7 linked regions of the Coturnix japonica genome follow. The protein of the gene in region 4 interacts with the protein of the main gene of each other region in a pairwise test. Links are inferred from orthologs where the notes say so. Each region holds a gene or a part of one and is shown on either strand. Other genes may lie near its edges. The genes, in order: EGFR, TRIM42, NUP35, KCTD9, GEM, EHHADH and SYT6.

What was found.
Region 1: the proteins of KCTD9 (region 4) and EGFR interact in a protein complementation assay, tested with the Homo sapiens proteins (2 studies listed by IntAct). The link is inferred for Coturnix japonica from reciprocal best matches to the Homo sapiens genes KCTD9 and EGFR.
Region 2: the proteins of KCTD9 (region 4) and TRIM42 interact in binary tests that used the Homo sapiens proteins (3 or more experiments, as listed by UniProt). The two-hybrid records come from large-scale screens. The link is inferred for Coturnix japonica from reciprocal best matches to the Homo sapiens genes KCTD9 and TRIM42.
Region 3: the proteins of KCTD9 (region 4) and NUP35 interact in binary tests that used the Homo sapiens proteins (3 or more experiments, as listed by UniProt). The two-hybrid records come from large-scale screens. The link is inferred for Coturnix japonica from reciprocal best matches to the Homo sapiens genes KCTD9 and NUP35.
Region 5: the proteins of KCTD9 (region 4) and GEM interact in binary tests that used the Homo sapiens proteins (3 or more experiments, as listed by UniProt). The two-hybrid records come from large-scale screens. The link is inferred for Coturnix japonica from reciprocal best matches to the Homo sapiens genes KCTD9 and GEM.
Region 6: the proteins of KCTD9 (region 4) and EHHADH interact in binary tests that used the Homo sapiens proteins (3 or more experiments, as listed by UniProt). The two-hybrid records come from large-scale screens. The link is inferred for Coturnix japonica from reciprocal best matches to the Homo sapiens genes KCTD9 and EHHADH.
Region 7: the proteins of KCTD9 (region 4) and SYT6 interact in binary tests that used the Homo sapiens proteins (3 or more experiments, as listed by UniProt). The two-hybrid records come from large-scale screens. The link is inferred for Coturnix japonica from reciprocal best matches to the Homo sapiens genes KCTD9 and SYT6.

What each region holds. Positions count from the first base shown.
Region 1 is NC_029517.1:73,822,949-73,826,961, forward strand, and holds the start of EGFR (epidermal growth factor receptor), read left to right. Parts: upstream 1-1,213; 5' UTR 1,214-1,534; coding exon 1,535-1,652; intron 1,653-4,013. UniProt on the Homo sapiens protein: Receptor tyrosine kinase binding ligands of the EGF family and activating several signaling cascades to convert extracellular cues into appropriate cellular responses.
Region 2 is NC_029524.1:5,100,316-5,105,017, forward strand, and holds the start of TRIM42 (tripartite motif-containing protein 42), read left to right. Parts: upstream 1-1,608; 5' UTR 1,609-1,760; coding exon 1,761-2,101; intron 2,102-3,160; coding exon 3,161-3,867; intron 3,868-4,702.
Region 3 is NC_029522.1:6,181,414-6,185,020, reverse strand, and holds part of NUP35 (nucleoporin NUP35), read left to right. Parts: coding exon 1-88; intron 89-1,896; coding exon 1,897-1,957; intron 1,958-2,512; coding exon 2,513-2,654; intron 2,655-3,030; coding exon 3,031-3,100; intron 3,101-3,191; coding exon 3,192-3,320; intron 3,321-3,607. UniProt on the Homo sapiens protein: Functions as a component of the nuclear pore complex (NPC).
Region 4 is NC_029537.1:1,991,865-1,996,637, reverse strand, and holds the start of KCTD9 (BTB/POZ domain-containing protein KCTD9), read right to left. Parts: upstream 2,985-4,773; 5' UTR 2,936-2,984; coding exon 2,888-2,935; intron 2,303-2,887; coding exon 2,181-2,302; intron 1,427-2,180; coding exon 1,383-1,426; intron 1,031-1,382; coding exon 934-1,030; intron 471-933; coding exon 412-470; intron 1-411. Other genes in the region: CDCA2 (cell division cycle-associated protein 2), read left to right, coding at 3,899-4,238, 4,467-4,597. UniProt on the Homo sapiens protein: Substrate-specific adapter of a BCR (BTB-CUL3-RBX1) E3 ubiquitin-protein ligase complex, which mediates the ubiquitination of target proteins, leading to their degradation by the proteasome.
Region 5 is NC_029517.1:114,173,987-114,178,695, forward strand, and holds the start of GEM (GTP-binding protein GEM), read right to left. Parts: upstream 3,055-4,709; 5' UTR 2,914-3,054; intron 1,501-2,913; 5' UTR 1,491-1,500; coding exon 1,157-1,490; intron 1-1,156. UniProt on the Homo sapiens protein: Could be a regulatory protein, possibly participating in receptor-mediated signal transduction at the plasma membrane. Has guanine nucleotide-binding activity but undetectable intrinsic GTPase activity.
Region 6 is NC_029524.1:2,549,555-2,553,941, forward strand, and holds the end of EHHADH (peroxisomal bifunctional enzyme), read right to left. Parts: intron 3,252-4,387; coding exon 1,981-3,251; 3' UTR 861-1,980; downstream 1-860. UniProt on the Homo sapiens protein: Peroxisomal trifunctional enzyme possessing 2-enoyl-CoA hydratase, 3-hydroxyacyl-CoA dehydrogenase, and delta 3, delta 2-enoyl-CoA isomerase activities. Catalyzes two of the four reactions of the long chain fatty acids peroxisomal beta-oxidation pathway.
Region 7 is NC_029541.1:3,837,394-3,841,489, reverse strand, and holds part of SYT6 (synaptotagmin-6), read left to right. Parts: coding exon 1-495; intron 496-2,167; coding exon 2,168-2,288; intron 2,289-2,750; coding exon 2,751-2,922; intron 2,923-3,282; coding exon 3,283-3,433; intron 3,434-4,096.

The sequences.
Region 1 (4,013 bases), on a different chromosome or scaffold from region 4:
TCTTCCTCTCTCATAATGCAAGCTGCAACCATTAGTGTACATTGAAATTACTTTGCAAATCTCCCCTCTCTAAAAGCTGATTTTTTCCTGGGCTTCTCATTTTTTAAAACCTTCATATTTGTCAAAATAAATGAAAATGTGTTATATGCACATAATGTTTTTGTGGTTGCACTGTGTAAACAGCATTGAAGCAAACTGAATTAAATGGATATTTTGTTGCAGGATCAGATTCTGCCTCTGTTAAAGGAACAGAAACAATCAGAGGAGCAGTGCTGTATGGATGTTACTTATTTCTGAGTTTACTTTGACGTATTTATTGTGTATTATTTACAGTGTATAAGGAAAAGAGCATACCAGTTACAGCATCCAAAGGCTCATCTTAAAAATAAACAATTAGAGGCACGATATGGTATGTGTTGGAGCATCTAACTTGTGCTAATGTAAGTAAATGGTGTTTCACTTTTCTTTGCCTAATTAGCACAGTAACTTGTTAAACTATCAGGGAAAAAAATGTGCAGAGGAATCTGATGGGTAGTATAAAATCAGTGAATCAATATAAATCAATATAAATAACTATCAAAGAATCTCTCAGAAGGCATGAATCACTGATGTAAGGCAGAATACACCCAGCAGCTGTTTTACTGTCTACGTAATGTATCTATGATATCCCCATGTGTTGCTATCAGCACATGGGGATAGGCATAGGCATTTAGTGTGTTACCTCCCAAGCCCCTTTCATTGTGAGATTCAGTTCTGGAGTTCCCAATAAATCATAGTAGTTCATATCCTATTGACTTTGTGGCCAAAATGACCACACGGGAATGGGGCTGTTCACGGGCTCTGTTGATGCCGAGGCAGCAGAAACGAGGGTTGTATATAATGGGACGGGATGGGTTTCTGCTGCAGAGCGTCCCACGGGAGGGACATGGATGGGGAGCTGAAGGCCACAGGGCTTTTCACAAGCGGCGACGCAAACGCCTGCTTATGCCTTCGGCAGCTACCGAGCAAACAAACAGCGGGAAGCGGACAACGGGATACCCTCAACACTCGCATAAACCTAGCGGGGGAATAGGCCAAGCTGTTCCCTCCCCCACAGCTGCTTCCTTCTGTCCTGGGACAGGTAGAGGCGGTTCCATTCCTACCTGGGCGGGGAAGGCGCCGCTGGTTCCTCCTCCCCCCGCTTCTTGCTCCCGCCCCATCCTCCTCCCCCTCGGCGTCCCCAGAGGGAGCCCCTGCGCTCCGTGGCCGGTCGGAGAGCGCAGCTGGGCAGAGTAGTCCCTTGGCCGGCCCCATCCGTTCCGCAGCCCCTGCGACAGAAGGAGAGGAGGGAGTAGGAAAGGAGAGGAGGAGGAAGAAGGCAGCAGTCCTTCTGCAGCTGGGTAGGAACGTGTGCGTGCAACCCTCGACGGCTGCCCTCCAGCATGTTGCTCGGAGGCAGAGTGGCAGCCAGGAGCTGAGCGGAGTAGAACGCAGAGCAGAGTAGCGCAAAGTGAGGAGCAGCTCGTCGGGGAGCTCCGTTTGCCCGTCGCGTTCGATGCACACCATGGGCGTTCTCAACCCCCTGTCCGCCGCCAAGCCCCGCGGGGCCGCTCTCCTGGTGCTGCTGCTGCTGGGGCGCGTCGCACTCTGTTCCGCCGTGGAGGAGAAGAAAGGTAACGGGTGGTACGGGTGCTGGGGCTACAGGGTGTGCCCCTTGGTACTGCGGGGAGAGTCGGAGGGAAAGTCTTGGCTTCGTCCCTTAGAAGAAAGGGGGGAAAAAGTAAAAAATAAAAAACTACTGAGAGAAAGATGGAAAAACAGACCTACAGAGCAGTCGCGCAGCTCATGACTTCCTGATTCTAAGCTTATTTTCTTTTGTGGGGGCGGAGGAAATAAAAGGGAATAAACCTTTGAGAGTCTCATCGCTTGTGCTTGTCCCCTCCCGAGGCTTTTATTTTCTGCTCTCTCCTCCACTCCGCCCCCGTGCTCTTTCCGCGGCGCCCCGAGCGCCCTCACTGCCCGGGTTCACCCCATGGTGGCCGCCGGCCCAGTACCGCTCTGCTACCGACACCGGGGAGGTGGCACCGAGCACGGCAGGGACACGCAGGGCAGCCTCAGCCGTCCCGCCGCCTCGGGCCGGGCACCTCAGCTCATTCCGCTTCAAAAAGATGAATGCATGCATATACGTGTGCACACACCTGAGAAGGGTGTGTCGGGGAGGACGGGAAACTTCATGCGGATTCTGGTTCTCCGGTCGTGCTCGCTCTCTCTCTCTTTCTCTCTGCCCGGCCCGATGCCTCCGCTGTCACCCTCGCTGAGAGCGCCCGGCAGCCGTGCGTGGGAACGGCGCGGGACGGCCCGCGAGGCTGTCTGGTTGGCTTCTGGAGCTTTGTTTTTTATACGTTTTTGAAAAACTGGTTTAAGGAGTGAGAGAACGTTTTTGTTGGGAGAGTTCCGTCGCTTTTTCTCCATGTGTGGTGATCATTTCTGTGAATAGGCCCCGAGTGCTGTTCCAGGCAGAGTACAGTTCTCTTTATCTTGGAGATCTGCCAGCAAGGGAAAAAATGCAGATCTGTTGTTGTGTTTTCTTTCTACAGAAAAAGAGGGAAAAAAGAATTAGTAGTGTTTTGAAGAGCTGGCTTGCAGCTGAAAACAGCTGAACCTATGTTTTTGTAACTGAGAACAGTAAAACTGTCCTGAAAGGGAGCAGCAGCTGCCTGTTCTGAGGAACTAGTTACACAACCTCAAAGCATTGAAGAGGCTCCCTTGTTCCAGAAATCAAGTTCATACCTGTTGCTGATGTAACGTAGGCAGCTCTTCTTTCCTGGGTTTCTGATCTTTTTCTTTTCTTGTCTCCCCTCATCCACTGAAAGTGACGGGGAGCAGAGCTGACTCCGTCTGCTGCATTTAAGTCCTTTGAAATGGAACACCCTGATGCACATGCCCAGCAGAATCTGTAAAATGTGAGGGTATATATGTTGTTGCCTTCTTTAAAGTGCTTAATCTGGTGTCTCATAAAATTATGAAGGTGCTGTTTATTTGAGGATTGTTAAATAAAAAACAGCTACATGATAAACCCAATGGGCATCATTGTCAGCATTGTGTTAGTGAGTAACCATTCCTGTGAGGAGGACCGGGGACAGAAGAGGGAAGGCAGAATAACTTCTTCAAGAAGCATGAATCAATTATTTGAGCTTTATCTGTTTTTCTCCGCATTTGAAGATGAGAGAGGAAATAAAGGTGGGTACAGAATAAAGTGGCATTTGGGAATCATAAAATAATGAGTGAAGACCCACTTCCTTGGGACCCCATGGCATCTGAATTTATAACAGTTCTGAAAGCAAATATGCTGCCATAAACATTGCAACACTCATGTTTTATGATAAAATTCTGTTGCTTCTAGAAGTACAAATAGTAAATGCATTTATGCTTCTTAATATTTTAGTTTGTATTATCCCCCCCAAATTACCTTGGCAAATCTTTTTTGTTACAAGAATGTCAGAATCAAACTATAATGGGCAATGTAATAGTTGAATGGAAATTAAAATTCACCTGTATATTTTACCAGAAGTTTAGAACAATCTTTTCAAATTTGGATGAGACGAAACTTTTTTATTTGAATGACTGCAGTCATGAAAATGAAAAACAAACCAAACAAACCCAGTAGCTGTGCTTAATGCAGCACCAAACAGCATTGTTAGAAATTGAACTGTCACAGGGATCAATACCTCCCTCTCTCTCAATCCACCATCTTTAATGTTGATCCAGATTAACAGCAGAGGAAGTAATCTGGATTTACACTGATAGTTGCTGGATGGCCTGTTAGGTGCCTTTGACAGCAGGCATGCCACTTCCTGCAGCATGCATTTGACTGATGTCCATTTTGTTTCTCATTGCTTAGTGACATTGCATTTAGTCAAACCATTTCTTGTTGCTTTTTTGGCTCTATATATCTAGTTTTGATCTGTAGTTGCAGCCATTGTGGAATGGAGTAAAGGACTGTGCACTCTAACCCACTGGGCAGTGTACTGGCT
Region 2 (4,702 bases), on a different chromosome or scaffold from region 4:
AGATAAGTAGTTTTAGTACGTAAAAATCTGGAGCACTGAAGATGGTTTAGGGGAACTACATGGGGCAGTGAAGCCAAAGAAGTCCAAGAGTAAGTAGAAAAATACAACCCACAGAGAACCAATGAAAACAGTATACATTCCTAAGAATGATACAAGTTGCTATTAGAGTCTGTATTATACCAAAATGGAAAACAATGTGACTGGGTATTAGCGTATGGCACACAGGACTACTATTTTTTTTTCCTTATCCTATCAGCTTTCTTTTCTCACAAAAAAATAAATAAAAACTCATACTTCATAAAGAACATTTGCGAAAGAAAAGCAGACAAGCATCAGAAGATATATTTTTTCCTACCAAATGAATGCAAAAGCCATTCAATGTGATAAAATTAAATATGCACAGAAAAAAAGTCTTACTGCTGATAAAACTAGAAAGACAAGTGGTATAAACAACATCCACTGAATGTCCAGGCTATGCCATTCAGCACACAAATCTAATACTTCTGTGTGAAAATCTGATTGACATAATAGACTATAACCGTTGCAAAGAACCCATTATGTCCCATCATGTAGATGGCTGCATATAATGATACAGCCATTGTAGTCTGTAAGGCTCTGGATCAGTGAATTAGAATTTCTTTATGTAGAACAGACTTTCAGCAAATAGGATCAAGACCCATTTTAGTAATTCCCAGTTATGCATTCACCCATCATCACAAGCTGAATTACTAAATTTCAGGAAAACTCAGATACATAAAGTACAGCAGCCACTTATAAAAAGCAGCATTATTGAGTATGTATCATAAAGCTATCACTGTCCTATAAAAGTTTCCAGTAAGAGAACATGCTTTTTCAGATGTCAGCTGCAGGCAACTTAGTGGGTGGCTCTTGTTTTAGTTAGACGTAATCATTACAGTAAACTACTAGTATGCACTTCTGAGAAGTTCATGTATTTTTTACAATAATTTCATTTTTATTTAAAATTATAATCTCTGCAAATAGACAAAAGCACTATTTAAATCTTCAAATAAATTAGCTAAACAAAAGAAGAAAAAGGCGCTTGATATGAAGTAACTAAAGAATTAGGCCTAATACTGCATTTATAGAAGAGTGGTCAGGATAAGGGAGGTGAAGAAACACACTTGGACTTAGAGGGGGAAAATGCAAGTCCACTGTGAATGAGCACTGAACTTGAGCTCCAAGGATGGTTCCTTCCCCAAGTCTCGGAGGACCAAATGCCATACACTGTTCAAGCGCATCAACACTGACAAAGACTTATTACAGTTACAGATAAAAGACATACTCAAAGACGCATATCAAGTGTAAGTTTCCTTTACGTGTCATAGCTATATTTGAAGCCAACAAAATGACTGTAAAGTGTGTAGTTCTAACAAGACTGTTGCCTTGGGATAGCTAATCCCACTGCACAAACTATTCATGCTATTAATGGAGAGTGAGGTAAATGCTGTCTATGATTTCAAGAACAATTAGAAATATCATGACATATAGATGTTGTAAATCAGCATACAGAGCGTGTATAAAATGTGTATAAACATGTATATAGTACCCTGCCTGCATCCTTATTTGAATACATCACTGTGACATCACATTCCATTTAGAACAACATGCACTGCCTACAGCACAGACCTTAACCCTAGAGTCAGACAGATCTCTTGCCTTGTAGGAACCCAACTGCAATAATTTGAAGAGAAGCTAAAAGGATAAATGAACTTTCTTTCAGCTGTATAATGGAGGGATAGATGAAAATGGATATATGCTCATGCTTCTCAAACTGCTGTAATCTGACTTGCCACAGCGTAAAGAAAGAATGCCGCTCATCTTGGCGCTTCCTCTTTACAAATGAGCAGTACTGCAGCTGTTTTCCGTGCCCATACGAAGAGGACAAATCTTACCAGTGCTGCCACTGCTCATGTTCAGAGCATGCAAATTGCTGGTGGTGCTGTTGCTCTTGCTCAAGTAACCCAGACTGCAAATGCTGCTGCTGTGGTGGTGAGAATTCAACGTGTCAATACTATGCAAGCAAATGCTGCAGAATCTATGTCTTTGAACCACGATGGTCAAGAGCACCAGGGACTGCTCAGTAAGTGGAATCAAGGGCTTTTAGTTTTTATAGGTTTAAATTTTTCTAATTTTCATTCCATCTTAATGGATGTCTTGCATTTAGAAGTATAAGATCCAGTGGCTCAGTGGAGTATTTCAAACCACAGGATATCATTCTTTCTTAAAAGCAAAAAAAAACTTTTTTTTTTTTCCCTACCATTCTCTAGAGTGACAAGAAAAGAAATAGCATGGCTGAACATCTGGGCAGAGAAGGTGCTAAACTGAAGCATGGCAGAAGGCCAGATTGTAGTCTCCTAGAATCAGGAGTACATCCTGAATAATGATGCTCTTTGCCAAGGATATAGAAAATGGCCAGGATCATTATAAAAGTAATACTCTTTTTTTCAAACAATAATGTCCACTGGCTAAGAGGAAAGCCAGGATAATCAAGATTTAAAGAGAACGCAGAGAATCAGTTATTTTCTAAAATACAAGAATTATTCTAATTTTAATAAAAATATCCAAATTTTGATTCTTTCATGTTAATTGCCAAAATTTTAATGATGTAAGACTGCTGCTAAGAATAATCTTCATTTGTTTTAAAAATCAGAAATAATGAGTGATTTTTTAAAATAATTAAAATTTAGGATCCTTCTATGTAAATGTGTGTTGTTATTTTAAATTGAAAAGTTTTTTCTTTTTCATTTTATTTATTTTTGTGTTCTGTTTATAAAAAGAAGCAAATGAGAAGGAGACAAAAACACATTCCAGACTGCAGTAAACCAAAATGAAATCTGTTTTTTGGACACCAGTATTAACTCAAGAAATTCAGAGAGACTTGACAAGAGTAAGATTTCTGCCTACTCACATTGTTGGAAACAGCATTCAAATACACTGAAATAGTTACGAAAATGAAAAGAATGAATTCTTAGTATTGTTAACTTAACTGTTTAAATAAAATATCCTGTCCAAATAAAGGGACGGTTGGCATGCAAGATGGATCTGCTTATTTTATCATTCTGTTTCTTAGATTGTGCACTGATATTCTGCCTTACATTTTCATTTGTTTGCTTCCCCCCCCCCATTTGATTTGCTTAAGGTCAGGAGATGTCACATCAAGATTAAGAACTAGATATAGCACATCTGCCAGTATACCAGAAAGGAAAGGCTCCAGCCAGGCTTTTCGTGACCAGCTTGCCTGTCCACTGTGTAAACAGTTATTTCTCCAGCCACTTATGCTGCCATGCAATCACTGCATTTGTGAGAAATGTATAATAAAAAGCAAGACCAAAGCTGAAGCAACAGAAAATTATTACATCATCATATGCCCGGTGTGTAGCAAAGCTCATTGTCTCCCTTGCACAAACAAAATTCAGCTGAGGAAGAATTACCTTAGAGCAAAACTAGCCAAGAAATACATGCGCAGACATGGCATTCTGAAATGGAGATTTGACCACAGTGTAGGACCAGTCCATTGTGAAGCTTGCAGGGAGAGAAGAAAAGTGGCAACTAAAAGATGTAAAACATGTGGAATGAACATGTGCAATGAATGTCTGCATTTATATCATGCTGAGAGTGGAGCTGAAGACCACATTTTTACCAGTGCATCTCAAGAAGATAACGAACAGTGGGCATGCTTACTGCACCACAACTCACACCTCTCTGAATACTGTCTGGATGACCACAAACTGATCTGTTGTTTCTGCAAGAATTTGCAACACAGTGACCATGAGACCATCCCTTTGGCAGCTGCGTGTTCAAGAGAAGCTGCTTCTCTCTCCAATACAATTGTAAAATTTAAAGAAGGTTTGTATTTCTGCTGCTTCTTACACTTCCCTATGCCATTGCAGGAAAGATACTTGCACATACACTTGATGAGCCACGTTAATTCTTTGAATATCACAAAAGGCAGAAAGATGAACCATTCCCACTGTGGAAATACAGAGGAAAGAAGCCTTTAATTGTGTGGAACCACATGACAAATTCAAATACTAGAGAACAAAGGATTTGTATGTGAGATAGTGCATCTTGGTGTAGGAAACTCCATTTCATACTGCGAGACCCAGTGTGAAACAACCACAAATTACACCTACATTTTTAAATCAGAAGTACATGCCTTTTTCCCTGCAGGCAAATTATGAATTGTCTCTCTTCAGTCAGTATTATGATTGTGTCCATGCTGAGTAAGAGGCAAGACAGCCTCAATGTTCTGAGGAGCTACAGCAATGTCACTTCCTTTATCTAAGAGTTCATCCATAGTGTCTGAGTGACAGTGCAGAGACTGGGATTTTATGAATTTCTTTTAAATACTTTGATTTTTGCATATAACACCACAAATGCTGGGGACAGACAAAGTTGCACAGAAAACAGAATTTGGAAAGGTGATAGTGAACCACATGCAGTGAGAAATAACTGGAAGCATTCAATTTGCATTTTCATAACAGTCTTGAAGCTCAAAAAGTAAAATGCAAAATATTTGTGTAAGGTTCTGTAATGGTAATGTGATATTGTTCCAAAATGTTAGCTGCACTTCAGCAAAATTTACTGTCAGCCTCTGGTGTTTTTGATTCTGTTCTCTCACAGTTCTCAATTTTTAGTGTCAGAAGAATAAATCATATCTTCACATAATGGCTATCAGAGG
Region 3 (3,607 bases), on a different chromosome or scaffold from region 4:
TAAAAGTGGTGCTCCGCCAGTTAGAAGCATATACGATGAATTATCTAGTCCTGGACTTGGATCTTCACCACTAACCTCAAGAAGAGCAGTAAGTTATTGTCTTTTTCTTAGCAGACAAGGTGAGGTCTTCAGTGAATACCTAAGAACAGTTTATGCAACTGAATTAGTGTAGTGCCTGGTGAGTCTTGTGATCATGCTGATATGCACTCCAGTCTTCCTTTGGGCCTGTTCCTGGGTATTCTGACAGCTTTGCTATGGGACTGCTTCTGATTTTTAAGGGTTTTCAGTAGACCCCTTCCCAGACCTCATTTAAGGGTTGGCAGTGGAGGTGAGGGTATCCCTTACTGGAGATCCCTGCTTACTGGAGGTCTTAAAGTAAGCAGCTGTTTTTCATTTCTGTACCTGTGGTTGCTGTGTTTGGGCTAGTTCACATTTGCTGTAGCTGAGGACTTTGTCATCCTGCTGTTATCATCCCATTATTGAGTATAAGATATGATGTGAACTTGGGCAGTGAGGTGGGGGGTTAATCTTGAAAGAGCAACAGTGATATTTCTGATAGTAAACTCTTCCTCTTACCTCAACTGAGTGGTCAAGTGTTAGTGGGTATTTTTTTCAATGTACATCTGCTGATGGAAAGACAATGCGTGTTTCTCAATGAGCAGACTTGATTAGATGTTGTTTTCTGAAAGCTTTCCAAGGAGAAGAGAGTCCCCTACTGCTTAAAAGTAGTACTAATGATAATGAGTAGCTAATAGTTTCAATGCAGGTTGCTAAGCTGACAGGTGCTCCATTTTGTTTCGTTTTCTTTCAAAGAAATACTATGACTGAGGATAAAAATACACTCAAATTGTTTCAAAAACTGAGAACTTGATATGTAGGAAATAACTATTAGCAATTAGAACTTGGTGTTTAGTTTCCTTCACTAAATATTGAAGTTACACTGAATGGTTCTATGGAGAAGAAATAAAGGTGAATACAAGTAGGAGCTATGCTATGTTATTTTGGAGTTTTTGAGATGCAAATCAGCTGATAATATCTCATGCTGCCATCCTTTCCTTAAGATGCATGTAGTGCAAATTGCTGGCTTGCAGCAATAATAAAATGTCTGGTTGGATCAAGTTAAACTCTCAGCTTTGTGAGTATTGGTACCAGAAGTTATTTGGATTGATAAAGTTTACAATTGGTGTTAGATAAAGGTTTTTTTTGACAAACCATCTGATTTCTAAATGACCTAAAGCTTGACTTAGACCTAAGTGAGCTTTTTTCATATATAACAGCAAGGCTTTCTCGTTAGATAAAATGATATCAATATTGCCTGTTGCTTGTGCAACCATTTTGTGAAGTAGTTTGCTCATTGTTCCCATGCACTCTTTAATACTTGAGTTTTGGCTTGTTGACACCTACTGGGTGTGTATGGGAAATCACAGCTTGAACCACTGATTAGTCAGCTGAGGCAAGTGTTGGGTCAGCTGCAGGAGCACAGGTGAGAGTAATCTAGCTGTGCTCCCGGTTGGGGTGGACTTCGACTCCACCCCCTCTGAGACCTCATTTAAGGGCTGACCACCACTGAGGCAGCATCTCTTGGAGATTGCTCCCTGGTGGAGACTGCCTCAGCTATCCAGTCCAGGAATCGATGTTGGTGAGTCTTCTTTTACTAATAACCTTTGACTGTTTACCACCATCTTGGTCAACATCTTTATATTAGCCACCCTTACAGGGTGCTAGTATGTGTCAAATACAGATACATACATGCTGGATATTAGTCTGGAAAGTCAGAAGTAACTTAAGACGGGGTTAATATTACTGCTTGATTGTTGAGCTAGCCTGAAAAAGAACTGTTCTGATCTGAGAAGTGTACCTATGTAAATGTTATTTACTTTCTGTATTTTACTACAGGGCAGTTTTTCTCTAACGCAGAGCCCGTTGGTTGGAAACATATCATCAACTCCTGGAACAGGTAGATGTCCTATGAAAACTCTTCATCTACTTTGTTACTGCTTTCCTTAACACATAATACTGTTCAAACTACTTCAACTCCTTGCATGTTTGCTGCATCTGTATTTTTCATTAGCTTTTCAAAAGTTTTGTGGGTGTGAATAGGAAATAGCTTGACTCATAGTGGTAGAATTTCCATCAACTTCACATATTTCTCACTGAGCATCTCTTGCTCAAGAGGTATCTGTGTTTGAGAGAAGCTTCTGTGATTCAAGAGTGGTTGTCTGTGCTGATAAGGCTTCCAATTTTCTGTATGAACACATGGCTTCTTGTTAAGCTTAACTCTGAGTGTCTTGCTTCCCTTTGGTGTCTGCATTGAGTAGTTGCTGTGTGGGGGTGAGTGAAGCCTGCTAGCTAGCTGGAAAACTTCTGAAATCTGGACTAACTAAATGTTTGTCTGCAAATTAATCTCCATTGAATTCTTCTGGGTACAAGTGAAATACTTAATAGTGAACTTCTTTTAGGCTGACTTGTCTTGCAGATGAATATATTAAACAGTTTTGTTTTAATTTAACAGCTTCAAGTATGTTCAGTCCTGCAAGTATTGGACAGCCTAGGAAGACTACTCTGTCTCCAGCTCAACTAGATCCTTTCTATACTCAGGGTGATTCCCTGACTTCAGAAGATCAATTAGATGACACATGGGTAACTGTATTTGGGTAAGTTTATTTGGAAATATTTGGATAGTTGTGGGCTAGGTCTTAGCCACGAATGGAAGCAAGTAGCACTTGGACTGCTGCTATTTGATGTTCCTACATTCTTCAGAATGGACAATTGCTTGTAAAGCCGGTAGGTGCACATACCTGCTATCTTAGTGAAGAAGCTTAACTCTACGTATTAGTAAGTTAGAAAGGCACTGTTCTACCATTCTATTTATGGCAAATTAAAAATGCATACAAGATAGTGTTACTCAAGTTACTCCTTCTAAGATGCTATTAAAGTGCCGGTCTATTCTGGATTTGCGAAATCCCTTGGTGGAGTTGGGTTCTATCACCAAAACTCATCATTTTTTTGGGAATTTGTTTTGTCTTTCAGATTTCCCCAAGCATCTGCTTCCTATATTCTTCTACAGTTTGCTCAGTATGGAAACATATTAAAGCATGTGGTATGTCTTAGTCCGAAGCTTATTTCTGAAAACGTTCTGGCTCATACTTTAAAATGGTGAAGTTACACAGTTTTCATTTTATCACATACAGATGTCCAACACAGGAAACTGGATGCATATTCGGTATCAGTCTAAGCTTCAAGCCCGAAAAGCCTTAAGCAAAGATGGAAGAATTTTTGGTGAATCCATCATGATTGGTGTCAAACCTTGTATAGATAAAGTAAGTTAACAACTGCTCTCTTTTAAATAAAATATAAGCATTCTGCTTTTGGGATTCCTTTTTGTTTCCCCTACACACTTTGTTTTCTATTTGAATCATAGAACATATGCAGTTAAATAGAAAATAATGAGTTTTATCAGACTTATTAATTGATTAAATGCTGCTGAAAGCGATTGCTATGGAAGCTCTCTCTGAGGTATGAAAGATGTACAGTGACATAACTCCGCATTACATGGTATTGAAGTTAGAACCTCAGAGACAGCTGAGCTAAGTGTTTAATGAGTTGG
Region 4 (4,773 bases):
GGGAAAATTCCCCTTACATCTAACCCCTTCCTGCTATAAATAGCTTAAACACATCTCATGACATGCCTAAGAACCATTACTAGAGTAAAAGCAGTATTAATCTGCCCTTGGTTGGTAAATACATCTCATTTGAAACAGAGTAAAATGCAACAGCCAGAAAAGTCTAAACTAGAAAAACAGACTCTATTATAAAGTATTAGCTCTGGATGGGAGTTTTAGTTTCAATGTGTGAGATAAACACTATATGAACAAAGGTTAAATAGACAACTAGAGAAAATGATCATAAGTAGTGCTTTGATGCTTTAACATACTTTTAATACTTCAACACATAAACAAGAGCTTTAACTTAATAATGCCTTTTACCTGTTTGGCTAATTTGTTAGCTTAAAGGGAGAGTTTTGAGATACTAACCTTTATCTTTAAACATGTGGGCCAGCATACTGTCAGGTTCTTTATTAACCAAAGTACTCCTAGAAAAGAAAGGCAGTGCAGTTTTATTTTTCAAGTGGAAAGTTTTGCTATAAGACCAATATGCTGGAAGGAATGCATTTCCTTGGCACACTGAAGGTAATTAACGGTGCATGATATGCATTCCAACTCTGTGCTAATTTGATTTCAGAGGAGATAAAGCACACTTCTGATCTAAGGTGTACCAAAAGTACTTCAAATAGAAAGCACTTCATTAGCTGAAATGTTCCAGGGATAAATGCAGACCTGCTCAGGCTTTTCACCACTGTCAGCACATATGTGAACTGTTTATGGTGGCAACAAATGCCTAATACTAAAAAAAGCTGCAAAAGATTTCCTACTCCACAGCAAAAGACTTTTCTTGTTCTTTCTCAAGAGCATCTAAAGTCTCAGTACCTGAACACAGCCCAGCTACTATAGCAACCTTACTGAAGGTAATTCCAGCTCAACTAGCCTCATTTTTACCGTGTGGTGGTGAAGTATCGACCTCCAACATTGAGTGTTAGCCAGTCTGTATGTGCCCCCGTTAGCTCTTCATGAGGTCTTGCATCAGTCTGAGGATCTACACAGGTGATGAGAAGACAGATGTTAGAATTGTGAACATTTCTGAATCCTCCATATGGTAACAGGTCAAAATTTACACTAAAGCAAAGCATAGAAGCATAGAATGGCTTGGGTTGGAGAGACCTCAAAGCCCACCCATCCCTTGCCACTGCCTCCCATCAAATCAGGGTGCCCAGGGTCTCATCCAGCCTGGCCTGGGGCACACACAGCTCCCCTGGACAGCAGTGTCAGGGCCTCACTACTCTCCTAACAGCTACCCTAATTATTCCTTCTTTTAGCATAAATCCATCCCCCCTTGTCCTGTTACTATCTGCCTAAGTAAACAGAAGGCTGAAGAGTTAAAGACTTACCAATGAACGGTTCCCCTTCACATACAAACAGAACATCATCATCCCTGGAAGGGGAGAGGGCAGAGGGAAGAAAAACAGGAAAAAATTGATTAAACAGCTATATGTTCATCTAAGTAACATTGGGATCCTCTCCTGATTAGTTTCAGGTATATGATAATCCGATTCCATTAGTTAGAATCAAGAATCTGATTGTTCTCTTAACTTCGCAGGTTCCAGATGACTGCAATTTTACCAGCTGCACTAGAAATGCTACCAATAGAGACTTGTATCAGCCAGGTAGGGATCACTTCTGATATTCAGCAGCTTTAATTTTATGAAATAGTTCCTTTTCTCCCCACTCTGAGGTGCTTTATGTTACATGAAGCCAAAACCATACCATAGTTTGTCTCCTTTTCAAAAATAATCTCTGGTTTTATGGTAATCACTTGTTATTCATAGAATGGCTTAGGAAGGGACCTTAAAGATCCCCAGTACCCCTGTTGTGGGCTGCTTGCCCCCCATCAGATTAGGCTGTCCAGGGCCCCACCCAGCAACATCCAACCTAGATCTCATCTTTTATTTTAAAGCCATTTCCTTCTGTCCTATTACAACATGTAAAAAGTCAGTCCCTCCTCTTGCTTGTAAACTCCCTTCCATTACTGAAAAGCTACAATGAGGTCTCCTTGGAGTCTTCTCCAAGCTAGACAAGCCAAACTCCTTCAGCCTTTCCTCACAGGAAAGATGGTCCTGCCCTTATTAAGAGCATTAACAAGCTATTAATCTCCATCCACGACTTGGCATTTATGGGATCAACCTTACCTAATCAAGGCAATATCATCGATGAGCCCACCTTTCCCATTGTAAACACTGGTTGCTTTGATCCCCAGCTTATTACTCGCCACAGACAGCAAATCTGACAGCGTGCCATATACAGCCACTACCTGCAAAGAGAAGGAAACCACATTAGGGCTGCTACCATCCCAGAGCAGCATTGGGCCTTAAAACCTGATATGCTTTTGCTATAGACATTGCTTCACAGCTTTGAGCAGAAAAAAAGGTTATTTATCAGCTACCCAACAGAAAGCACAGCACAGGAAGACCTCAGCACATCCCTAATGTGCTCAGGGCATGTTTCTATCAGCACAGCACCACTAAATGGGAGCTGAACTGCATTGAAGAGCAGTTATGCCTGTATGGGGTCTATGGGGCCCATATGGGGTTGTGGGGCCCATATGGGGTTGTGGGGCCTGTATGGGGTCTATGGGGCCCATATGGGGTTGTGGGGCCTGTATGGGGTCTATGGGGGCCTGTATGGGGGTCTATGGGTCCTATATGGCCTAGGCCCAGTGCTGCCCCATACACAGGCCTAGGCCTCAACCCGGCCCCTCAGACCCCACTACCCCAATCACGGCCACAGTAGGCAGCCCTCCAGTCCCAAAGCAAGCAGAGGAAAATAGAACAACCTCAGAAACTCACTTTCAGGTTCCCAAATCCGACCCACAGGCCTCAACCCCCCCACCCCTCACCTTCCCGTTCCGGGGACTGCCGTTAACGAACAGCGTGACCCGCCTCATACTGCCACCAAACCCGGAAGTCAGCGCTCTCTGAGCGACAGGAGCTATAACCAATCGCAGCCAAGCCGCTGGCCAATGAGAAACGCGCCTCGCAGGAGGGGCGGGGAAACAACGAGTGGGCGGAAGCAGAGGTACCAGCAGCCAATCAAAAACAGGAGTTGGGTGCTTAAAAGCAAACGCTGCTCGCGATTGGTGCGCGCTGTCACGTGGACGGCGACCGTTGCAATTCAAAATGGCGGCGCGGCGCGTAACGGTCATTGATGGCTCCGCGGTTCGAACGTGAGGGGAGAGCGGGGATGGCGGCTGAGGTGGGGGGGGGGGGGGTCTGTGGTAATGGCCCTTGTATGGCCCTTGTATGGCCCTTGTATGGCCCTTATTGCCTTAAACAGCCCGGTCCGTGGAACCTAACGCGTATTCTCGTGAGCTGCTGCTGTGGCCTGTTTCCCTGAGCTTTAATACCTGAGAGAAACCCAGTAATGCGAAAGATGTGAGAGACCTAAAGAACCCCCCCCCCCTTTCCCCTTCCCCTTTATACTATTCATACCTCAATTGCGTTTAAAACGGGCATTTAAACGCTAAATGTATATATTTACCACAAAATAAAAGCATAAGCCTGTGTTTCCTTACCCATAGCCAAGCTTCTGTGCTTCTCTTACCATAAGGCTTTCCCTATTCTTCCCCTTTCCCCCCTCCCCAAGTGGTTTTCTAGATCTGCAGTCATTTCATATCATTACAGGGCTGTTTTCCTTATCAAATGACTTAAAACTTGTCATTTTTTAACAGGGAGCTGTTGTTATTGGAGGCAAGTGAATAACTTTGTGCTTCTTCGGGCTTAAAACACGTTGTCATCAAAGGTTAGAGATGCTGTGCTGGAAGATGAAGGCAATGAGAGAAGAAATCTTGCAGTGACTGAAGAGATCCCCATTAGAAGAGTGGAAGGTTTGCAAAGTGACTGAGCCTGAAATGGCATCTGAGAAAGAGAACGTAAGCAATGGAACCAAAGGCCAAGAGCAGGAATTGTATCATGATGCTGAGAGCCATCAGTGGTCAGAATGTCCCTTAGATACTCCAAAAAGGGCTGTGGTTGGTGAAGCTGCCCAGCCTCTGAGCAGCAAAGAGAATGTTTCAGGTAGATCCGTGCCTTTGGGAGATGAGTGCTACTCAACGCCTGCAAGGCTCAAAGCAGAAGAAAAATCCTATTGCGAATTAGCAGAGAAACAGAGGAGAAAAAGTGTCGATTTTGCAACTGTAACAACTGCTGATTTTGGGATTACTCCAGAAAGCTTTGTTAATGGATCTACAGGTAAGGCAAGGCTGGAGTGATCAGAAAGGGTTGGACTGGATGATCTTGTAGGTCTTTCTGCTCATGCTGATTAATTGATTTTCTGACAGTTTTCTGAGCTGTAAAGCTATATGAGGTTGTTTCCAGAAATAACGCAAACCATTCTTTAAAGAAAAAACCCAAACCCCATTAAACCAGTGTTCTGCTGTACATCTTCATTGTTTTTTTTTCCTTCTCTCTCCATTTCAGCAAAGTCTCCAGCTGCTCTAAAGCTCAGACGAAGATCAGCCATTGGAGCAAGGGGGTCTCCAGAAAACAATACCCTCATTCAATACCTTGCCCAGCAGAAGAGCAACAGGCAAAAAGAAGCTTTAACACAGGTGAGGGTTGTTCTCAAGTGTCTAATGCATCATTTTAATTCCCTTAGGGATCAATATGTAAGTCTTCCATTTTAACACCTCCTGGCAGAAAGAGACTAGAAACCCAAGGGAAGGGGTCAGTAGAAGAAATAGCTTTGGCCTTAATTTTCTTGATTTTCCTTGGATGCTTTTGTTTT
Region 5 (4,709 bases), on a different chromosome or scaffold from region 4:
TTCAACTCCCTTGCCATGAACAGGGACACCTACAGCTAGATCAGGTTGGTTACAGCTCCATCCAGTGAGCTTACTTTGAAGTCAACATTTTAAAAGGGGAAATACAACAGCAGGTTTCCTGATACTTCCATAAAGCTGGCCTTGAAAACTTGTCATGGCCATCCTCCAAGCAGTAGTGCTGGGAGTGCAAATGAATGAAGAATCCATACTGCTTCTCATGAAGAAGGAAACTATCTGACAAGGATGTGCAAAGTAAATCCTGGCTTAAGAACCAAAAAACCTGTCCTGCCTATGCTCCACCAAAGGCTGGAAAAAAAAAGCTCAGAAACTCTCCGTGCTGTCATGGGCATCAGCACAAGCGGAACAGATAGAGGAGAGAAATGCTCTGTGTGTTGAATAGCAAAACCAGCCAGCAACTTGCACGTGTTACCAAGATGACAGCACCTGTGTCCTTAGGACCACAGCAGGCTTCTATCACTGCATGTCCCTTCTTCCACAGCACCTTGCTCACACCCTCATGGCTGGGTGCCACAGCCTCACCTTCTGCAATGACTAGTCTTTGGGACTAAGGAAGGTTTCAAAATCCTCACTAACACGGGAACATGAAATGAGGGGTAGATATATTTTGCTCAGACTCCCTACAGCCTATGCTGACACAACATATTCATATGTAAGGCTGAGATAACATATAATGGCAAATGTTTTGGAGAATTGGATAGGGCTTTTTATTTTTCATTGCATATTATTTCTGAGCATTACATTCTTGTGGACCACAAGGAAAGGTCCTTGTTTTCCTCTGCCCTATAGAAAGCTGGAAATAGCCCTTTGGAGCCTGTGGTGACACAAGAATAGGACCAGAATGAATACTGAATGGCAGCTTCCAACAAATTCTTTGAAATAAAAAAGCATGAGAATCTGTATTGTTCCTTTTCAGATGCTTTGAGTTGTTATTAGAGAGTACCATCCTCGTTGTAGCTTACTTTGCTTATTCTTGTTTTCTTAAGAGAGATGCATGTGTTGGAATTGCTTTTGACAATCAGATCCAGATGTTTGCTAGGTCAATTTTACATTAATTGACCTTTCTGATTTTCCACGTCAATTTCTGCTGCCATGGCTGGTGGTGAGCAAACACAGACCCCAGAGCATGGTGACCTACCTCCCAGCACCTCGCAGTCGCTGTCAATGCTGTCGTGTACCCCTGCAAAGATGTTGGCCAGCGACGATTTGCCCACACCTTGTTCCCCAATCAGCACCACTCTGTAGCAGTTGCTGCAGGACTCAGAGGAGATGACAGAGTCAGATGACTCCGAGGACCAGCTCCTTCTGTAGTATTCATCAGGACTGATGGTGTATCGCTTCTGCACATTGTACTCATTGGAGTCCTTCTGGACCAACAGGTTCTTCCCATCAGCAGGAATGCTCCATCGCTGCTGCTGCTGCTGCAGGCTGCTGTGGTGGGTGCGACGCATGGTAACGTTGTTGAGGGTCATTTTTTTACCCCTGGTGAGAAATGTGGAAGCCATACACTTTATTCTCAAAATACTTACAAACACACCATCTCAAGGCATCAGGTCCTGCTCTTCTATGGGGATACAGTATGCAACAACAACAACAAAAAAGGAGACTCCACACTTTTGCAGTTGCTAGTACTAGTATGCAAAGAAATATTTCTAGCTTGTGAGTCAGAGGCTTTTTCCTGGGGATGATGCCACCCCCATACACTAATCCTCTCTGTCTTTAGCCTGTACATGTTTCCTGTAGTGCTAAGTGTATGGGCAGGGAAGCACTCAGCAGAGCTCACATATGGCTGCATCCCCATCAAGAGATGGGCAGCACCTGCAGGCAACGCTCCCTGCCCTCCTGCCTCCTGGGGCAAGCAGAGGGACCCATCCCTCATACCTCAAACTCACAATCTTACACAGCTCCCATAGGAGAGGAAAGCCATGCAAGCAAGCACATGTCTTTGGGTCTCATCTATGTCGGGATAAGCTTAAAACAGTGGCTTTCTGGCTGCTAGCAGGGACACAACCAAGTCCAATGACTTTTCAGAGGAGGTATATGTTCAAGCCATTACAGAAGGTGGCACTGGCAGAAAAAGATCATAAGTTTACAAATACTAAATCAGAAACTTCATCTGTTTCACAATTAGCTAATAGGTTAGCTCTTCCAACCTTAGCATGGCCCCTAATTACACTTAAATTAGCAAACTCAGTTTTGAGCGGGTTGGCGGCAGAGCACAGTGATGTCATTCTCACGGGCCACCAGCTACCATTTTTAGGAATGTTACTTCTGTGGCTATTTGGACATTTTGCTTTTTGGAGTATATCTGAATTTTATCAGCTCTGTTCTCCATGTCAGTAGGCAGGAGAGCTGCCCATGAAATGAACTTTCAAACTTGAATAACAAGCGGTGAATGAAAACAAGCACAGCAACACATGAAAACAACATGTTCGGATCACTACTCCTTTTCACACAAAGCTATCTGAAAACTTCTTAGAATGAACATAGATCAGGCTGGAGAATAAGCAGACCAAAACCACTTTCTATCTGATCTTATTACAGCACTCACAGTACTTACTCTGTGACACGCAGTGCTTAGTGGCAAAACTAGATTCTGACAAGAAACTAGGCATCAAGCAAAGCCTGCTTCACAAAGTCAGATAGGAACCGCAGTTTGATTTACCATGCATTACTTTCTTTCAGTTTCCCCAGTGAAAAGACCAGATGAGAAAAAGCAATTCCAATTCAGTCAGATATCAGAGCCCAAACAAATGATGACCATCAATAAACAATCACGTCGCAGTCCAAGCCCAGGTTTGATGGCATGCACTGCACTCAGCTGTGTGGGTCTACAAAGCCACAACAAACCCCACAGACACAGGACCCAATGCACAGTGGCCAGAGATTCCTTACTTGTATGTGACCGTCCACGCTGTCAGCTCCGGATTCGCGCTGCCTTCCGCTCCGTGGGCTGTGTTACACTGAGCTGCTCTGCCAGAGTAAATCCCCTCCCGCTTACGGGCTGCCTCTTTAATTCCTTCTCAGCGAACCTGGTTTATATTAAGCCCATCTGATCGGAGACAGGGCTTTTCCGTGACGTGGTTGGCCTTTCCATCCAACAGCCAACCCCCAACTGGGAGGAAGCAGACATGCAGAAAAGCAAAAACTTACAAACAGCCTCAAAAGACTTACTTGAAATCATATGATTGTCTTGGTGTTGCCAGTAAAACAAACACATTTGGGGCTGACATGAGGAAAACAGGCAAGTGGAAAAATTAAAAAAAAACATGTCCTTCCATCTTGCTCAGTTCTGCATTCAAACGCCAGCAGGATTAATGGTGTTTTTAAAACTACGTGTTTCATTAATGAATATAATGCAGTAAATGTGTGATGTTCTCTGTCTGCAAAATGCAGTTAACTCCCCACTGGACAAGATGTTTTTTTGTGGAATAAAAGATCTGAATATCATTTTAGAATTATCTCACAAGCATGAATATTATTCTGTTGTTGTTTTGTTTTTTTTGTTTTGTTTTGGTTTGGTTTATTTGTCTTTTAAAGAGATCCAAAACATACAATCCTACTTTTTCCATCACCTTCCAAGGCTCTACCAGCCATCTCCCACCCCTGCTGCAGCACTCCTCCTGCAAGGGCTCAACAGAACGGCTGCCCACAGACTGAGTGCTGCTCCAGCTGGACGCCAGCAAAGACGGATGTGAATTACAGAGCACAGAGCCCGGGCGACACGGTGCAGATTCTGTCTGCAGTTTATTAGGAGAGATGGCTATACAGTGTATGCACCACAAAGCATGTGCCTGCTCCTCAAATGGTGCCATTTCTAACAGCCTGTGTGGAAATCACAATTAACAGAGCAAAGAAATAAACCTCCACAAAATACTTGGTAGGGATACCATCAGTTATACAGAAGTCTACAGCAAACTCCCACTATTTTTCCTTCTTTTTCCAAACCTGTGACTGCCCTTCCCCTGGCAGCTGAGCTTTAGCACCAGCGCTGTGCAGGGTGGAACATCCCTTCCCTTGGTACTGCCTGGCACTCATGTCACAGACTTCTGCATTTTTGTGTCTCACATAAGCCTTGTACAGAACATTTCCTCTGATAATGCAGCCCTTTATGAAACTCTTCCACTGAGATATGCCTGATTTCTCTCCCCTTCAGCTTTGTTGCACTTCTGCATTTTTCATGAGGATTTTCAGGGATCTTCTGAGCCCATCCTGTTGGATCACCTCTGTTCAGCAGTGGCTGCCCTGGCTCCAAGCCCTGCAGCTCTGCGTAGGATGCACACAACAACTGTTTGTGCTCACTGTACAGCACAGCAAAACACGGCACAACCCCTGTCAGGGAATGTTTATGGCAAGGCCAGTGGGTCTCAAAGCAGAGCACTTTGCTGTCAGCACACCGAGTTCTGAAGTTGCTCCTCCCTTTTGCAAAATGTAAATGAAGTGGGGGAGCGGATGGCTGCAGAGCTGCGTGCTGCACCCTCAAGGGATTTCAGTTCTCTTTATGTCGCCTGTCACTCGTCACCTCCTATAATAATGCAAAACCTGTCCATCACAGGGCTGCAGAGTTTTATGGCCAGATGGATGCCAGCAGAACCGTGGGCTCTAACGTCTCACCCAAATGTTTAACTTGTATGATAGCAGAAAGCACAGACAGCGGAAATGAATCACAGTCAGAAAAGGCTTTGCGTTTA
Region 6 (4,387 bases), on a different chromosome or scaffold from region 4:
TGCTCTCAGAGCCACAGCTGCACCCTGAGCTCTGGCAGTTTCACTTTGCTGGCTGGAACATGGCAATCAATGCATTGGTCAATAGGAATGTACAGATTCTGTCAGTAGAGGCATTATGAGTGCCAATGGCCTCTGTTCTCAGTAATTTCCTCGAGGGGAGATGGGAAGGGGGCTGGGCATGTTGGATGTACGGAGGTGCTGTAGGTGAGATGTTTTGGCCACAAGGCTGATGCTGGCGGGGCTTGATACCCAGAAACTACCATCTCTCAGGCAGATAAAGGACATGCCCGCCCCTCCTCAGCCCACTCCTGCTGCAAGGGCAATGCCCTTCTCTAACCCATCTCTGGTACGAATGAACCCCATGGCAGGAGGCCCAGGAGAGGGTAGAGCACAGCACGTCCAGAGCTGTCCTGCCCAGTGACGTGACAGCCGCCAGCAGCAGCAGTGCTGTTGTGTAACATGTCACGCGGAGCCCACGCGCGTGGAAGCAGCGCTTCACCTTTGAGCAAATGCTGGATTGCACTCAGCTGTGACACGCAAGTGATGGGGGGGGGGGAATGCAGCAGTTTTCAGCACCTAAGAGTTATTGCTTTCTCTGGTGCTGGAGGAAAATCCTCCCTTGAACAAAGAAATAGGTTCTGGCTTCTGGAGGGTTTCCTGACCCCAGTTTTGCACTGGGGCAAGAGTGGATAAAAGGCACAAGAAGCTACGTATAGAAAACAGTGGAATGCAACCACTTCCAGCATGAACTCCTTCACAAACAGGGAGTGTATTGAGTTCTGCCACATAGAGAAGCAATGGAGGTATAAAGAACAAACACATTTTCCATCTTCTGCTTTACGATACCCAGTAATCCGTCATTAGATAATCAAAATGGTTTTATTAAAACAGAAAGCAACAATTAGACATTCAGTGTAAATCTTCCTGAGGACACCAACCTAAAAGATAAATTCACTAGACGTGAGCAATAGGTGACTTTGCTCAAAGCATGGAAGAGCTCTAGCTCACTCCTGCTCTGCTCTCTGCTGGAAGTCTGCCCGCCCAGCTCTCGAGCCCTGCTCTTCTCAGCACGCCCTCTGTGCAAGGAAAAACCCGATAAGTGCCAGGCCAGGTTTCAGTCTGGTCAATTAGATCAATTAGGTAGCCACAGGCAGGCAAGATAGGGGGAGTGACAGCAAAGCAAAGCCGCACTTAAGAGATGCCAGAAGATGTTTCTGCCTGGACAAAGCCAGGTGGATGATAAAGGAGGATGGAGTCTGGATGCAGAATGCCAGTCATGAGCCAACAGCACAGTGCAGGTTAGTCAGGTTGATGCATATGTGGCTTTTGTGTCATTTATTAGAATCTTTTTCGGCAGCAGGGAGCAGGTGATAGTACCAGCCCTGCCCCCTGCTCTCTCTCCGAAGCTGCTCTCACCAATACCTTTGAATTTACCTCTGAAATGTGCCAGCTCTCCCCCAGCAGTGTGAAGGGAGGAGGCTCCAACTGGCTGCATCTGGGACTGCCAAGTAATCTGGGGTGGAGGAAACTGCACTGCAGGGAGAAGGAAGGTCTGAACAAACTGGAAAACAGACTTAGGCCAGGATCTGGTAGGTCCAGCTGATCCTGGGTGAACGGTGACCATCTTGCTCTCCCCTCCCACTGTGATTTGCTTTGAGGGCCATGTGTTGTTCTGTCCCTTCTACAAAGAAAGACTGGAAGAGATGCACTGCTCTCAAGAATTAAGTGCAGAGGAGAATGAAATGCATTTATACACAGCAGTGTGCCAAGAAGGTGGGTGAAGCTGGTGGCAAGAGGCAAGGGTGGGCGATGGCAGTGGTTGCCTGCAGCAAGGTGAGACAGAGATCAGGCTCACCTAGGAAGGTAATTGACATTTTTTATCAGCCTGTAGCACTTTGGTTCTGATTGGAAAAGTGCAATTGCAGCAGCTGTTTCATGAGATCAACCTCCAAGGAATTTCTATAGCAGGTATCAGTGAAATCACAGCTTGTTGCTCTGCCTGTGTAGGTAGGACATCCAGTCATTGAGAGGAGGGTTCCCCATAGCCACCAACTTTTTCAGAAAGGCACTGGGACGTAGCTGGGGAACATCAGGGTGCATCTCAGAGTATTTTTGCAGCTTAGCCAGAATGTTAGGGAGCCCAACAGTGGAAGCGTAGAACATGGGGCCACCCCTGTGCTTTGGCCATCCATAACCATTGATATAAATTACATCAAGGTGTTCTGGGCCTGACGCTATTCCCTCCGCCAGGATGTCAAATCCTTCACTGATAAGAGCAAACAAGCAACGCTCCAGGATTTCCTCCTGGTCTATAAAGCGGGTCTTGATTTGATGGGTGTCCCTGTACTCAGACAGAAAGCTGTGAATCCATGGGTCTGGTTTGGATATCCTACCCCCAGCCTTCTCATACTGATACCAGCCTTTTCCAGTCTTCTGGCCAAACCTGCCTTTCTCACACAGAAGGTCAGGCAGTGGGCTGTAGCGATAACCACGCCGCTGGCGGGCGGGTGTTCCTGGAGCCAGTGAGGGCCCAGTAAGGCCCTGGTCCTTTCGAGACCTCCAGCCCACATCCAGCCCAGCAAGATCAGACATTCGGAAAGGCCCTATCTTAAATCCAAAATCTTCAAGAACCCGATCTACGTCTTCTGGTCTGCTTCCTTCCTCTAAAAGGAAAACTGCCTGTTGTGTATATGGAAACATCATTCGGTTCCCAACAAACCCAAAACAGTTCCCTACCACCACTCCAACTTTCTTCATCACTTTGGCTAGCTGCATGGCCGTGGCAATGGTGGTGGGGGACGTGTGACGGCCATAGATTATTTCTAATAGCCTCATCACATGAGCAGGGGAGAAGAAGTGTGTGCCAATGACTTGCTGTGGGCGGTTGGTGACAGAAGCTATTTCATCGATATTCAGGGCTGATGTGTTTGTACACAGAAAGGCCTCTGGCTTGCAGATTCTTGATAGCTTGTTGAATATTTCCTTCTTTAGTGCCATGTTCTCAAACACAGCTTCAATAACTAGATCTACATCCCTCAACACATCAAAGTCCACGGTGAACTGGAGTCGTGCAGGGTTATGGAAATCCAGGGTTTGGGCACCCTGCTCCATTTTCATAGCCTCACGTTCCAAAAGGAGCATCACGGCTTTTCTTCCTGTGTTCAGATACTCCAGATCCTGCTCCAGGCCTACCACAGGTATCTTGGCTTTAACCAGAGAAGTCACGATGCCTCGGCCCATTGTTCCAAGCCCTGGAGAGAAAAGTGAGATAGAATCAGAAACTACAAATAGAAAATGTTACAATCAGTCACTTGACAGCAGCACTTCCTTCAGTATTTCCAAGATAAAAAGCAGAAGCTTAAGCAAAATGCACAGGCAGAAAGAAAGAACTGAAGACTCAGAAAAAGGAAGGTTAAGTCTCTCTTTCAGGGAGCCTCAGTGTCTGAAGAGCAATAGCATAAAGGCAAACTGGTGTCTTCTCAAGGTTACAAAATACCAACGGGATTCACAGGGGTGTGTGTGGACCACATGAATTCATGTCTTGTCCTTGCAAAGTTTTATCCCTATGGAAACCAGCATCACTTAATAGTTAGAACTTGGGGAGTGAAGACAGAAGACCAACACTATTTCTGGCAGCTTCATCCTGAGGACACCAGTGCCTCTCTGGTCCTTTTGAGATGGCCCCTCATGGGCACTCACAGATGAACACCTCTGCAAGCAAAGCCACCCCACACAGATATTTTGACACCAGAAAAGCTCAGACAGTTGGTTTCTTCCTCTTCCTTGCAAGCTTCTTGTTCGTCTCACCCTGCGTTTCATTGCGTAATCTTTGATGTGAACACAAATTCAGCTGCTCTTTCTTTAAGGCATCTCAGAAGAGTCTGATCTCGACTTTCATGTCTCCTATATCACTCATCATCAGTTCAGGCATGGAACTGACACTGTGCTCTTACCCTGAACATCTTGCTTGCTGTTCACGCTTTGTATTGTACATCTCTGCCAACGGGGGGCAATCCAAGTCCTCTGATAAGGGCCATTCCTAACTTTTGAGGATTACTAAAGATACAGCCTCCCTTGTCTAACCACACTCTTGTCCACAACCAATCACCCATTTAAGCTGTATTTTTTTTCCTCTGAGATCCACAAATGTGCTACGACCAGCCCACACCCTGAGAAATAACACTGCTGACATTACTGCCTTGATACTTTCCCTCCTTTTGAGCCCTTCCCCTGGCTCAGCCCTCTGTTACATTAAGTGAAGCTGCGTGCTTACACTCTCCTATGATACCCAGCCCACGCTACTTATTCTATTCTCCTACAATGGAGGCTTTGTGGACAGAGCTAATACAAACTAGTGAGAAAGCCAGCGCAATTTTACCAGCTTTAA
Region 7 (4,096 bases), on a different chromosome or scaffold from region 4:
GACTCACCTGCTGTTGCTGAGCAGCCGACCAGCATCGGCCGCATTAAGCCTGAGCTCTACAAGCAAAAATCTGTCGACTCCGAGGACCCCAAAAAAGAAGCAGCAAAAACCTGTGGGAAAATTAACTTCACTCTCAAGTACGACTATGAGAACGAGACGCTGACCGTCCGAATTCTCAGGGCTTTCGATTTGCCAGCCAAAGATTTCTGTGGCAGCTCAGATCCCTATGTGAAGATCTACCTCCTGCCCGACAGGAAGCGCAAGTTCCAGACACGAGTGCATAGGAAGACCCTGAACCCCACCTTCGATGAGTCCTTCCATTTCCCTGTGCCCCACAAGGAGCTGGGGAGCAGGAAGCTCCACCTGAGCGTCTTTGACTTTGACAGGTTCTCCAGACATGACATGATAGGAGAAGTTATCTTGGAGAACCTGTTTGAGGACTCAGATCTCTCCAGGGAGACTTCCATCTGGAAGGACATTCAGTATGCAACAACGGTGAGTGTCTGCTCCAGCGGTGCTGGGGCAGGTGGGTTGGCCTTCCCCTATGGCTTACCTGAGCCCTGTGCAATGGGAGCAGCTGGGTTTATTGCTGGTGGTGCCATTAGCCCTGGGAGCCTACAGCAGTCACACACAGGGATGGACAAGGCTGCTCTATGTAGAAGCGTGACAGCTGTAACCAAGCCCTGGTTTGCTGGGATTTCATCCCCTCATTAGTGGTTTGCTGTTATCTCACCTGCAGTGAGTCTCATTGACACCAGGTTTGCTAAAAACCAGATGGAGGAGTGAGGTAAATTCCCTGTTATCATCTGTTCATCAGGGGAAGGTCTTGGGTTCTGGATGTCTGCCACGTGCACATGATAAACAGCCAGAAATAGTTTTGGAGGGGCTGTACTGGGCTTTACTATACGGAGAGCATCATTCCATCATGTTACCGTTCCCGTGGTTGTTATGAGCCTTTCAGCAGTTCTATTGTATTCTCTCTGAAAGGGAAACCTAACGTCAGGGATGGAAATGTTCCAGCTGCTTTCAGTGCTGCAGGCTTTGGCTGAAGCTGGCAGGAGAAGCCACCTTCTCACCCTGATCTTGTTGCAGAAGCAAAGGCATTAACCTCTATGCAGTAGCTATCTGCTTGTCCACTGTCCTCCCAGGAAGACGTGACCCTTCCTGAGGGGTGAACAAATGACTGCTCTGCTCTGCAGTTGGACGCCAAATCAGTTGTCTTTTCAGGTTGTTATTTCTGAAGCTGGAACATGGGAAGTCCTCAGCCCTGCCTGGGCTTGGGCTGGCCCCAAACCCTTTGGTGATCGTGGTGGTGTTGGGACAGTGGTTGGACTTGGTGATCCTCAAAGGTCTTTTCCTTTAATGATTCAGTGGTTCTATTCTATGCCTCATCCTGTGCCAGGCTCAGCTTGTGGACAAGGAGAACCTCTTTAGTGCGTGCTGAAAATCATCCTGATAGATTAATAAGGTTCCTTTTTTGTGAAGCAATGAATTCAATTCCCAGTAGATGCATCAAGCAGCATTAAAGGCAGAGGAATAATAACTCAGTAACTGTTCTCAGTGTTTCAATACTGATCACAGACTGTGGGGCTGTGACTCAGGTCACTTTGCCCTGAGGTTTGCTCTGCTAATGTGAGACCCCTGAGTACAAGGCAAGATTTCCTTTAAAATCCATTTCCAGAAGGTATCTGGAAACCTTTCAGGTGAAGTCCCAGCTGTTTAAAGAATACCAGGCCTGTTCATAGTCTTACTTTTGGTCTATTTATGCTTATCCCTGAATTCCCATGAGCAAGGCAATGATAGAATGGGCTTTTGAGAGGTGTAAAGAGAAATGCTACATGTGCAGGAGGTGTGAGGAGCTGTGTGTGAAAGTTGTTTTACAGAGCACCCAAACAGCAAATGGTATCGATCTGTGTCATCCTGAAGTGCTAAACGTTTCTGAGTGCCATCTGCTGGTTAATGCACTATTTATGTACAGACATACACACATTGATGCTGTGTTTGTCAGCTCTGGGAGGGCACATTTGAATGGGCGATGGTCCAGGGAAAAGCCTGTTCTGGTGCGAGTGCTGCATGAACCCTGCACACAGCATTGCGATGGAGGGTGGATGCAGCCAGGCTGAGTCTTGCACGTTTCCAATACAGTCTGTTCTCTGTTTTATTGAAGGAAAGCGTGGACCTGGGAGAGATCATGTTTTCCCTTTGTTATTTGCCAACTGCAGGTCGCCTCACCCTAACAGTCATTAAATGCAGGAATCTCAAAGCGATGGACATCACCGGTTACTCAGGTGGGTGCTGGTGGCTGAGGGCACTGTGAGCTGCAGCCACGCTTCCTCCTCCTCCCATGAGATACCTCAGTGGGGACACATCTCATTGTGCAGCTCAGTGCTTCTATAAATGCTGCATATTTGCTGCTACTTCAAAGTGCATTGCAATTGTCCAAGCAGCCAAAATCAGAAACAGGAGCCATTTGTAACCAAGATGCATTCTGCCATGATCAGCCAACAGAAAGCAAGCGAGACAGAGCTGTTCTAATATCTTTTCTTCCTCTGCTGCTCTCTGGGAAATATGAGCTTTCAGATTCCTCTGCTCACTGTAACTGTGCAACATAATGGAAGCAGTTGGACAGATTTGGCAGCAGTGCAGGAAAAGGTGCCACATCCATGCTATGGAAATGCTGTTTCTGTATTGTGAGGGTAAGAAAATAAACCTCCATAATCAGAAGTCCTTTTCCTCTCTCCTCCTTGCAGATCCATACGTCAAAGTGTCTTTGCTATGTGATGGTCGAAGGCTTAAAAAGAAGAAAACCACCATAAAGAAAAATACTCTTAATCCTACTTATAATGAAGCAATAATCTTTGACATTCCCCCAGAGAACATGGATCAAGTCAGCCTGCTCATCTCTGTCATGGATTATGATCGGTAGGTGGAGGGCTCTGGGGAGAGGAGAAAATCCCATTGGGCACGGATGTTCTGCTCAGTAGTTGTTCCCTTACCATCACAGCCTTGACTGCACCCCTGCGTGGCATCAATGTGTCTCTAGAGATGTATTATGAATGTCATTTTTATATGGTTATAGGATCATAGAATAGCTTGGGCTGCAAAGGCCCACAGTGCTCATCCAGTCCCAACCCCCTGCTATGTGCAGGGTCACCAACCAGCAGCCCAGGCTGCCCAGAGCCACATCCAGCCTGGCCTTGAATGCCTGCAGGGATGGGGCATCCACAGCCTCCTTGGGCACTGTGGGCAAGAGATAAGTGTTGCTTTCCTATTGTTCTTCAGAGTGGGTCACAATGAGATCATTGGGGTTTGCCGTGTGGGGGTCAATGCGGAAGGATTGGGAAGAGACCACTGGAACGAGATGCTGGCGTACCCACGCAAGCCCATCGCACACTGGCATCCATTAGTGGAGGTGAAGAAGTCTTTCAAAGAGGTACGTGCAGTTCTTCTTTCCTTTGAATCCATGTACTGTGCATGACTGAGCTGGGTCAGGGCTTTCAGAGAGGAGCAGTTCTCACTTGGGGATTTCTGCTAAGAGCTGAGGGAATGTTCTCACCAGACATGAACTCCAGAAGCTGAACATCTCAGAGCAGCCTTGATAATATATAACTCCTTGAGCTTGCAAGCAAAAAAGATAAGAGCTGTATTTACAGATGTGACTGGTACCGTATGACTATTTTTATTTTTTTTAATTTTTTTGTGGGTTTTTCTTTTAATTGAAGCCAGAGCAGTAAGGAAAGAGAATGCTGCTCTGATTGCAGAACAAATTGTCCAGGGATATCGCGTAATTCAAGCTTCAGTTTGTTCATCCTAGAAGATTTTTCTGTTGACTCATCTCCAAGCCTTTGAGGGAGAATAAATAGAACAAATGTAATTGCTGCAAGCATCTGCAGAGAAAGAGATTCACTGGATATAACCCCAGATGGTGAAATAGGGCTGAGATGCCTGAGTGCCATTTTGACCATCTCTGGCGTTTTCTTCCTCCTTGAGCTCCATTTTGTCACACTCGTATGGGGTTGTTTGCTTTTTATCTGATTTAGGTAATAAATTCTGGAGGAGAGAGATCTGGAGAATGGCACTCAGTGAAAATAAAGCC